Oryzias latipes: one gene and its partner. The protein of the gene in region 1 interacts with the protein of each later gene in a biochemical or structural test. Links are inferred from orthologs where the notes say so. Each region holds a gene or a part of one and is shown in the gene's direction. Other genes may lie near its edges.

Region 1 (3,973 bases):
TCAGGAGGTTCTGGGCTATAAGATTGAGCACCAGGTGTCCGTGTACATGGTAGCTGTGTTGGAGTACATCTCTGCTGACATCCTAAAACTTGCAGGAAACTATGTAAGAAATATCCGCCACTATGACATCACCAAGCAGGACATCACTGTGGCCATGTGTGCGGACAAGGTACATTCTAACCCCCCACGCCGTTCTAGAAACACCTGACGAACGCTGAGAATACTTTGAGACTCCTGAAAATGTGTGTTTGTGTGTGTTGGTATGTGTGTGATTGTATGTGTGTTTTATGTGTGTCTGTGTGCGTGTATGTTGGTATGCGTGTGTGTGTTTGTGTGTTTTGTGCGTGTGTATGTTGGTATGTATGGGTATGTATGTTGTGTGTGTGTGTTGGTGTGTGCATGTGTGTTTTGTGCGTGTGTATGTTGGTATGGATGGATGTGTTGATGTGTGTTGTGTGCGTGTGTATGTTGGTATGTATGTTGTGTGTGTGTGTTGGTGTGTGCATGTGTGTTTTGTGCATGTGTATGTTGGTATGGATGGATGTGTTGATGTGTGTATGTGTGTTGTGTGCGTGTGTATGTTGGTATGTATGTTGTGTGTGTGTGTTGGTGTGTGCATGTGTGTTTTGTGCGTGTGTATGTTGGTATGGATGGATGTGTTGATGTGTGTATGTATGTGTGTTGTGTGCGTGTGTATGTTGGTATGTGTGTGTTGGTGTGTGTGTTTGTGTGTTGTGTGCGTTTGTATGTTGGTATGTATGGGTATGTGTGTTGTGTGTGTATGTGTGTTGTGTGTGTATGTGTGTTGTGTGCGTGTGTATGTTGGTATGTGTGTGTTGGTGTGTGTTTGTGTTTGTGTGTTGTGTGGTTTGTATGTTGTTGGTTGTTGTGGTGTATGTGTGTTGTGTGTGTGTGTTGGTGTGTGTATGTGTGTTGTGTGCGTGTGTATGTTGGTATGTGTGTGTGTGTGTGTGTGTTTGTGTGTTGTGTGCGTGTGTATATTGGTATGTGTGTGTGTGTGTGTGTGTGTTTGTGTGTTGTGTGCGTTTGTATGTTGGTATGTATGGGTATGTGTGTTGTGTGTGTATGTGTGTTGTGTGTGTATGTGTGTTGTGTGCGTGTGTATGTTGGTATGTGTGTGTTGGTGTGTGTTTGTGTGTTGTGTGCGTTTGTATGTTGGTATGTATGGGTATGTGTGTTGTGTGTGTGTGTTGGTGTGTGTATGTGTGTTGTGTGCGTGTGTATGTTGGTATGTGTGTGTGTGTGTTGGTGTGTTTTGTGCGTTTGTATATTGATATGTATGGGTATGTGTGTTGTGTGTGTGTGTTGGTGTGTGTATGTGTGTTGTGTGCGTGTGTATGTTGGTATGTGTGTGTGTGTTTGTGTGTTGTGTGCGTTTGTATGTTGGTATGTATGGGTATGTGTGTTGTGTGTGTGTGTTGGTGTGTGTATGTGTGTTGTGTGCGTGTGTATGTTGGTATGTGTGTGTGTGTGTGTTTGTGTGTTGTGTGCGTTTGTATGTTGGTATGTATGGGTATGTGTGTTGTGTGTGTATGTGTGTTGTGTGTGTATGTGTGTTGTGTGCGTGTGTATGTTGGTATGGGTGTGTTGGTGTGTGTTTGTGTGTTGTGTGCGTTTGTATGTTGGTATGTATGGGTATGTGTGTTGTGTGTGTGTGTTGGTGTGTGTATGTGTGTTGTGTGCGTGTGTATGTTGGTATGTGTGTGTGTGTGTGTGTTGGTGTGTTTTGTGCGTTTGTATGTTGATATGTATGGGTATGTGTGTTGTGTGTGTGTGTTGGTGTGTGTATGTGTGTTGTGTGCGTGTGTATGTTGGTATGTGTGTGTGTGTGTGTGTGTTTGTGTGTTGTGTGCGTTTGTATGTTGGTATGTATGGGTATGTGTGTTGTGTGTGTATGTGTGTTGTGTGTGTATGTGTGTTGTGTGCGTGTGTATGTTGGTATGTGTGTGTTGGTGTGTGTTTGTGTGTTTGTGTGTTGTGTGCGTTTGTATGTTGGTATGTATGGGTATGTGTGTTGTGTGTGTGTGTGGTGTGTTGGTGTGTGTATGTGTGTTGTGTGGTGTGTGTGTATGTTGTTGTGTGTGTATGTTGGTAGGTGTGTGTGTGTGTGTGTTGTGTGCGTTTGTATGTTGGTATGTATGGGTATGTGTGTTGTGTGTGTATGTGTGTTGTGTGTGTTGGTATGTATGGGTATGTGTGTGTGTGTGTGTGTGTGCACACAGGTGTTGATGGACATGTTCCACCAGGATGACGAAGACCCCACTGGCTTCCCTCTGATTGACGAGGAGCCCTCAGCCAATGAGGATCAGAGTTACCTGGAGCTGGTGCGGAGCTTCATGGCGGATGGTCGACAGTACCTGAGACAGCTTAACCTGATAATTAAAGTCTTCAGGGAACCTCTGAGCTCCTGCCCCATGCTCTTCTCCCAGCATGTAGGTATATTCTGAAGGCACCGGCCCATCAGGACCGTGGAGTCACAGCAGTGGGTTTGGTTCTGCAGGAGGTGGATAGTATATTTAGTCGGATCTTGGACATCCATGAGGTGACAATGAAGCTGCTGGGCCTGATTGAAGACGCCGTGGAGATGACAGATGAAGGGAGCCCTCATCCTTTGGTGGGGAGCTGTTTTGAGGATCTGGCTGAGGTTTGGATTCCTGTTTGTTGATTGGTTGAATGTCTGGACAGAGAAGTTAATTACATGACTGTTGTTGACAGGAGCTGGCCTTTGACCCGTACGAAACCTACTCCCAAGATGTTCTGCGTTCTGGCTTCCAAGAACACTTCTTAAGTCAGGTGTCCAAGCCCGGGGCCTCCTTCCACCTGCAGGTAATCCCGCCCCCGACCTCAATGACAATGTACGAAATACTTTGATTCGAGTTGATCTAAAACTTGAAAGAATAAACCTAGTTGCCTGGCAGTCAGTCCCAGGGTTCCACCTCCTGATGAAGCTTTTGTCTGTTTTACAGTCCATCTGTGAGGGTTTTAAGGAGGCGGTTCAGTACGTTCTTCCCCGGCTGCTCCTCACTCCAGTCTATCATTGTCTGCATCTATTCGATATCCTCAAGGTGAGACATGGATCCTCTCCGGTTCCTTACATGACACTCGTCACTCATGTAGAGACTCGCTTAGAAGTCTGTTCTGTGGATCTTCAAACCACAATGAGTTTATGAGAAAGAAAGAACCAAACCAGTTGTATGTAAGACCAGCGTAAAAGACTGTAAGGGATTTTGATGAGATGTCCCTCGCTCTGCAGGAGAAACAATATTTACAGCAGGAAAACATGTAAGATGGCTATGAACCTGTTCCACTCAGTTTTACACCAGTTCTAATCCTGTATACATCCGTTCCACTCCTTTTACATTGGTTCTGCTCCTGTTTTACACTAGTTATAATCCTGTTTTTACATCGGTTCTGATCCAGTTTTACATAGGTTATTATTATGTTTTACACCAGTTCTGCTCCTGTTTATCATCGGTTCTGCTCCTGTTTTACACCAGTTCTAATTTTGTTTCACATCGATTCTGATCCAGTTTTACACCAGTTCTGAGCCTGAACCACGGTTGCTTCCGCATAAGGCGTTAAAAAGTAATAACGCACACTTCAAAGGCCATTAACCCGCTTGTACCATAGTCCTGTATCACTCCGGCGCAGTGATACAAAACATTTAAGCTAGGTGACCGGAACTTCTTTTTTCACCGTGCGGTTATCAGGTTTTAATGCACACCCAGCAGCCAATCAGAATCGAGGATTCACCCGGACCATGGCATAAGTAAATGTATGTAAAAACCAAAAACCAGCTTTATTAACTACTGATATAGAAACCCTTTTAGCTTTTCTTCTTTTTAAAACAAGCAGTTCCAACTGTCCATGACTGTGTGTTTGTGTGTGTGTGTGTGTGTGTGTGTGTGCAGACTGTGTGTGAGATGACTTGTCTGTGCAGTTCTTTACCATC
Region 2 (3,973 bases), on another chromosome or scaffold:
GTCCAGCTGTGCTCACTTTCAAATCTGCGCTTGTTTGCACCGTCTCCTGCTAGCTTACAGCCCCTCACAATCCCAAAGAGTTCATTAAAAAATGAACCTCTGCCAATTGTAGTATGTACATTTCTACTACAAGCTTTGTCAAATAGCATGTTTTCATCTGCTCCTGATTCACCACGTTTTGAGGAAAAAAATACTCAGAAAGAGTTTTAACCTTAATCATCTTTACCTATGTCCTCCATCATGAGAAAAATGCCTCAAGAACATGTTAAAAACAGCCTTTTCATTGGAGTGGGTGTTCTCTGATCTGCCAGAGGTTAGCCATGGACCCCCGCTGTAAGGGAATGCCTCTGTCTAGCTTCCTGCTCAAACCCATGCAGAGAGTCACACGTTACCCTCTCATCATCAAAAACGTAAGTGTGGTTTGTACAGACACACAAACACCACAGAGCTCTTCTTTGAACTGTTAGTGTTTCTACACAGATCTTAGAAAACACATCAGAGGCCCATCCGGACCACAGCCACCTGAAGACTGCTCTGGAGAAAGCAGAGGAACTATGTTCACAGGTGAACGGAGCAGGAGGCGCTGGTGCGAACAGGCAGGACACACACGTGCTCACGCTGTGTGTTCTTTCAGGTGAACGAGGGCGTCAGGGAGAAGGAGAACTCTGACCGTCTGGAGTGGATTCAGGGTCATGTTCAGTGTGAGGGTCTCTCAGAGGTGAGTAGCACTTTCCTGCCTGCTTCACCTGCAGCACAGTAGCATAAACTGAATCTGAAGTTTTCTAAAAAGCTGCATCTGTCCTAAAGCAACTGGTCTTCAACTCTGTCACCAACTGCCTCGGCCCACGCAAGTTCCTCCACAGTGGGAAACTGTTCAAGGCCAAGAGCAGCAAAGAGCTCTACGGCTTCCTGTTCAACGACTTCCTGTTGCTGACACAGGTGAGCCTGTGGTACTAAGGGTTGGCTGACCTCTGTGACCTGGGCCACCTATAATCACTGTTCCACCTGTAATCAGCCTATTTTCTTTGTAATAGAGTAAAGTGCCTCTGTCCTAACAGGTAATCAAACCTTTGGGCTCATCAGGGTCAGACAAAGTCTTCTCCAAAACTCACCTGCAGTACCGCATGTACAAGACAGTGAGTGCACACCAACCAACACAGGAGGAAGCTCAATCATTAGCCTTTCTTGACAAAAGTCTTTTCCTTTTCAGCCAATCTTCCTAAATGAAGTTCTGGTGAAGCTGCCGACAGATCCATCAGGAGACGAGCCTCTGTTCCACATCTCCCACATTGACAGAGTTTACACTCTCAGAGCTGAGTCTATCAATGAGAGGTAACGCCAAGGCTTTCATCTCTTAATCATTTTCAATTCTCCTAAATCAGGCAGCAATAGAGGCTTGGATGCAGCTGCTCGGTCATGGAAACCCATTCCATGAATCTCTCTGTATGCTGGACTTGGACTAATCTGAAGGTCACATGAAGTTTGGAGCAATTGACTGTGTAGAAAGTCGGTGACCTCTTTGTGCTTCAGCATCCTCTGACTCCGCTCCATCAGTTTGTGGTCTACCACTTGGTGGCTGAGTTGCTGTTGTTCCCAAACTCTTCCATGTTGTTCTGATAGAGCTGACAGTTGACTGTAGATTTAGGAGAGAGGACATTTCACCACTGGATCTGTGGTACAGGTGGCGTCCAATGACACGCGTCCAATGTCTGTGAAAACAGTCTGGATGACTGAGTGATGATTTGATACACCTGTGGCCAGAACAAGAGATCAGGACACCTGATACTGATCATTTGGATGGGTGAGAGTAGACTCTTGGTAATATAGTGTAAATGGCAATTACTCAGTCATTAGGTTCGTCAGAATAACCATTTTTGCTCTACAAACTTTTATTAACATCTTCTTGCTAACCCTTTTTTTCCTCATGATATTTTAACTGTTACTCAAGTTAGAAACTGACCAATCAGATGCCTCTATAAATGAAGGTGGCCTTGCGTTGAATATTCGAAGCATTTGATTAAAAAATTCTCCAGAGCCCACTTTCAGTGGAATGGGTGTGGCCTTCTAATATAATCACTCCTGACTAGAGAGAGTGGTTGCCATAGAAATTTAGACCAATCACAGCTTCACTGAGGACGTCTGGTTCCAACATAGCAACTGACATCGTGGATGGGGGGTCTAAGGGCAGGGATGCCAGTTCAGCTTAGTCTGTTTGTTAGTTCAATTTAGTATTTTCCACTTGAATTCATGTATTCATGATCCTTTTGAGTTTATGTTGAACCTTTTCAATTACCTATACGAAGCCCATCGAGACGACTGTTGTTGTGAATTTGGGCTATACAAATAAAATTGAATTGAATTGAATTGAAAAATGGCAACTGAATTGACTTAAGTTGGTAGGAGCCAGAAGCAAGGCATTTTCTAAGGGTGATGTCACACGTGGGTTGTCCAGTTATGCAGTCAGTGGGTGTAACATTTTGAACCAGCTGAAGTTTGAAGGTATAAAAACACCTACTTCGCTTGCTTTGGTTAAAACAAACCTCGGCCTATTTCCAATGGTGTGTGAACGAACAGTCATGCAAACTCTGCTCCAAACAAGTGCACCAAGACCCTTCTGAAGCATGGAGAACTGAACTGGGCGATAGAAAATGACTTGCTTCCAATGAAATGAAGAGGATAGAGTAAAACTTTATCGATTCTACAAAGGGGAAATTACCTAAGTCAGTTCACTCACCATTTTTTCAATACGGACATCACCATGTCGGAAACTATTATCATCAGTAAGCAGTGATTAGTCTGAGTCGGTCTAAGTCATTTCTATGGAAACCACTCTGTCCAACCCGAAGTAAGATTGTTGGAAGTCCACATCCCTACCATGTGAAAGCATGCTGGGGAGATTCTGTCAAACACATTGACTGTTCAACATGAGACCAGATATATTTACTGAGGCATCTGATTGGTCAGTTTATAAATTGAATAACTAGTGATGGTTAGGAAAAATCCTGAAAAAAATGATGATTAGGAAGAGCATGTTAAGGAATCTTTAATGACTGAGTAATAGCTTTTTATGTCTCTATAGGAGTCTATGGGATTTCAGCTTTTTGAGACCAGCAGGTACTTGATCAAACCCAACTTCAAATACAGTGGAACAAAACCGTTACCAAGTGTGAAAATAATCCCCCTGAAAAAGATGAGTAAGGTCTGTAATGTTCATCAAAGGCACATGACAGCCATTAGAGACAAAACAAGGGGGTATGTGGTACTAGAAATCACATTGTCTTTTTTTTAAATGGAATAACTAGTAAATTCATCTGGGCAAGATGTATTTGGTCTAATACAAACAAGCAAGATTTCTAGCTCTCACAGACCAGTAACTTCTTTAAAATGTTCCTCTCTCCTCCACTCTTCACACTCCAAACTCCACTATGGCCAAGATTTGTCAAAGCACACCAGATTCAAAATTGTAGAGCTGCACCAGGCTGGGAAGAATCTGCAGCTGTAATAGAAGATCACGGATAATCTCCCTCCTTCTGGGGCTCAACGCAAGACTGCACCCCACAGGGTCAAAATTATAACAAAAATTGGAGTGTAAAAATCCCCAAACCACATAGGGGGACTATGAGTAAAACACCACAACAACAGGCAATCCAATTCCAGACATGTCCCCTTCAAGCCAGCACACGTCCGGGCCTGTCTGGGGTTTGCTAGAGAGCATCTGGATGATCCAGAGGGGGTTGGAAGACTGTGATATGGTCAGATGAAAATAGAACTTTTTGGTAAAAACTCAACTTGTCGTGTTTGGAGGAGAGACAAATGGAGAGTTCGAAGAACACCATACCTACTGTAAAGCGTGGGGGTAGAACCATCGTGCTTTGGAGCTGTTTTACTGCAAAGGGACCAGAACGACTGATCAGTGTAAAGGAAAGAATGAATGGAGGCCATGCATGGTGAGATTTTGAGTGAAAACCTCCTT

The links. The genes of interacting proteins can lie anywhere in the genome.
Region 2: the proteins of sos1 (region 1) and itsn1 form a complex in vitro, tested with the Homo sapiens proteins (2 studies listed by BioGRID, with this or other methods). The link is inferred for Oryzias latipes from reciprocal best matches to the Homo sapiens genes SOS1 and ITSN1.

What each region holds. Positions count from the first base shown.
Region 1 is NC_019859.2:113,522-117,494, reverse strand, and holds part of sos1 (son of sevenless homolog 1), read left to right. Parts: intron 1-4; coding exon 5-169; intron 170-2,243; coding exon 2,244-2,453; intron 2,454-2,521; coding exon 2,522-2,665; intron 2,666-2,736; coding exon 2,737-2,847; intron 2,848-2,987; coding exon 2,988-3,086; intron 3,087-3,973.
Region 2 is NC_019873.2:636,920-640,892, forward strand, and holds part of itsn1 (intersectin-1), read left to right. Parts: intron 1-311; coding exon 312-410; intron 411-480; coding exon 481-564; intron 565-634; coding exon 635-718; intron 719-807; coding exon 808-939; intron 940-1,058; coding exon 1,059-1,136; intron 1,137-1,210; coding exon 1,211-1,332; intron 1,333-3,973. UniProt on the Homo sapiens protein: Adapter protein that provides a link between the endocytic membrane traffic and the actin assembly machinery. Acts as a guanine nucleotide exchange factor (GEF) for CDC42, and thereby stimulates actin nucleation mediated by WASL and the ARP2/3 complex.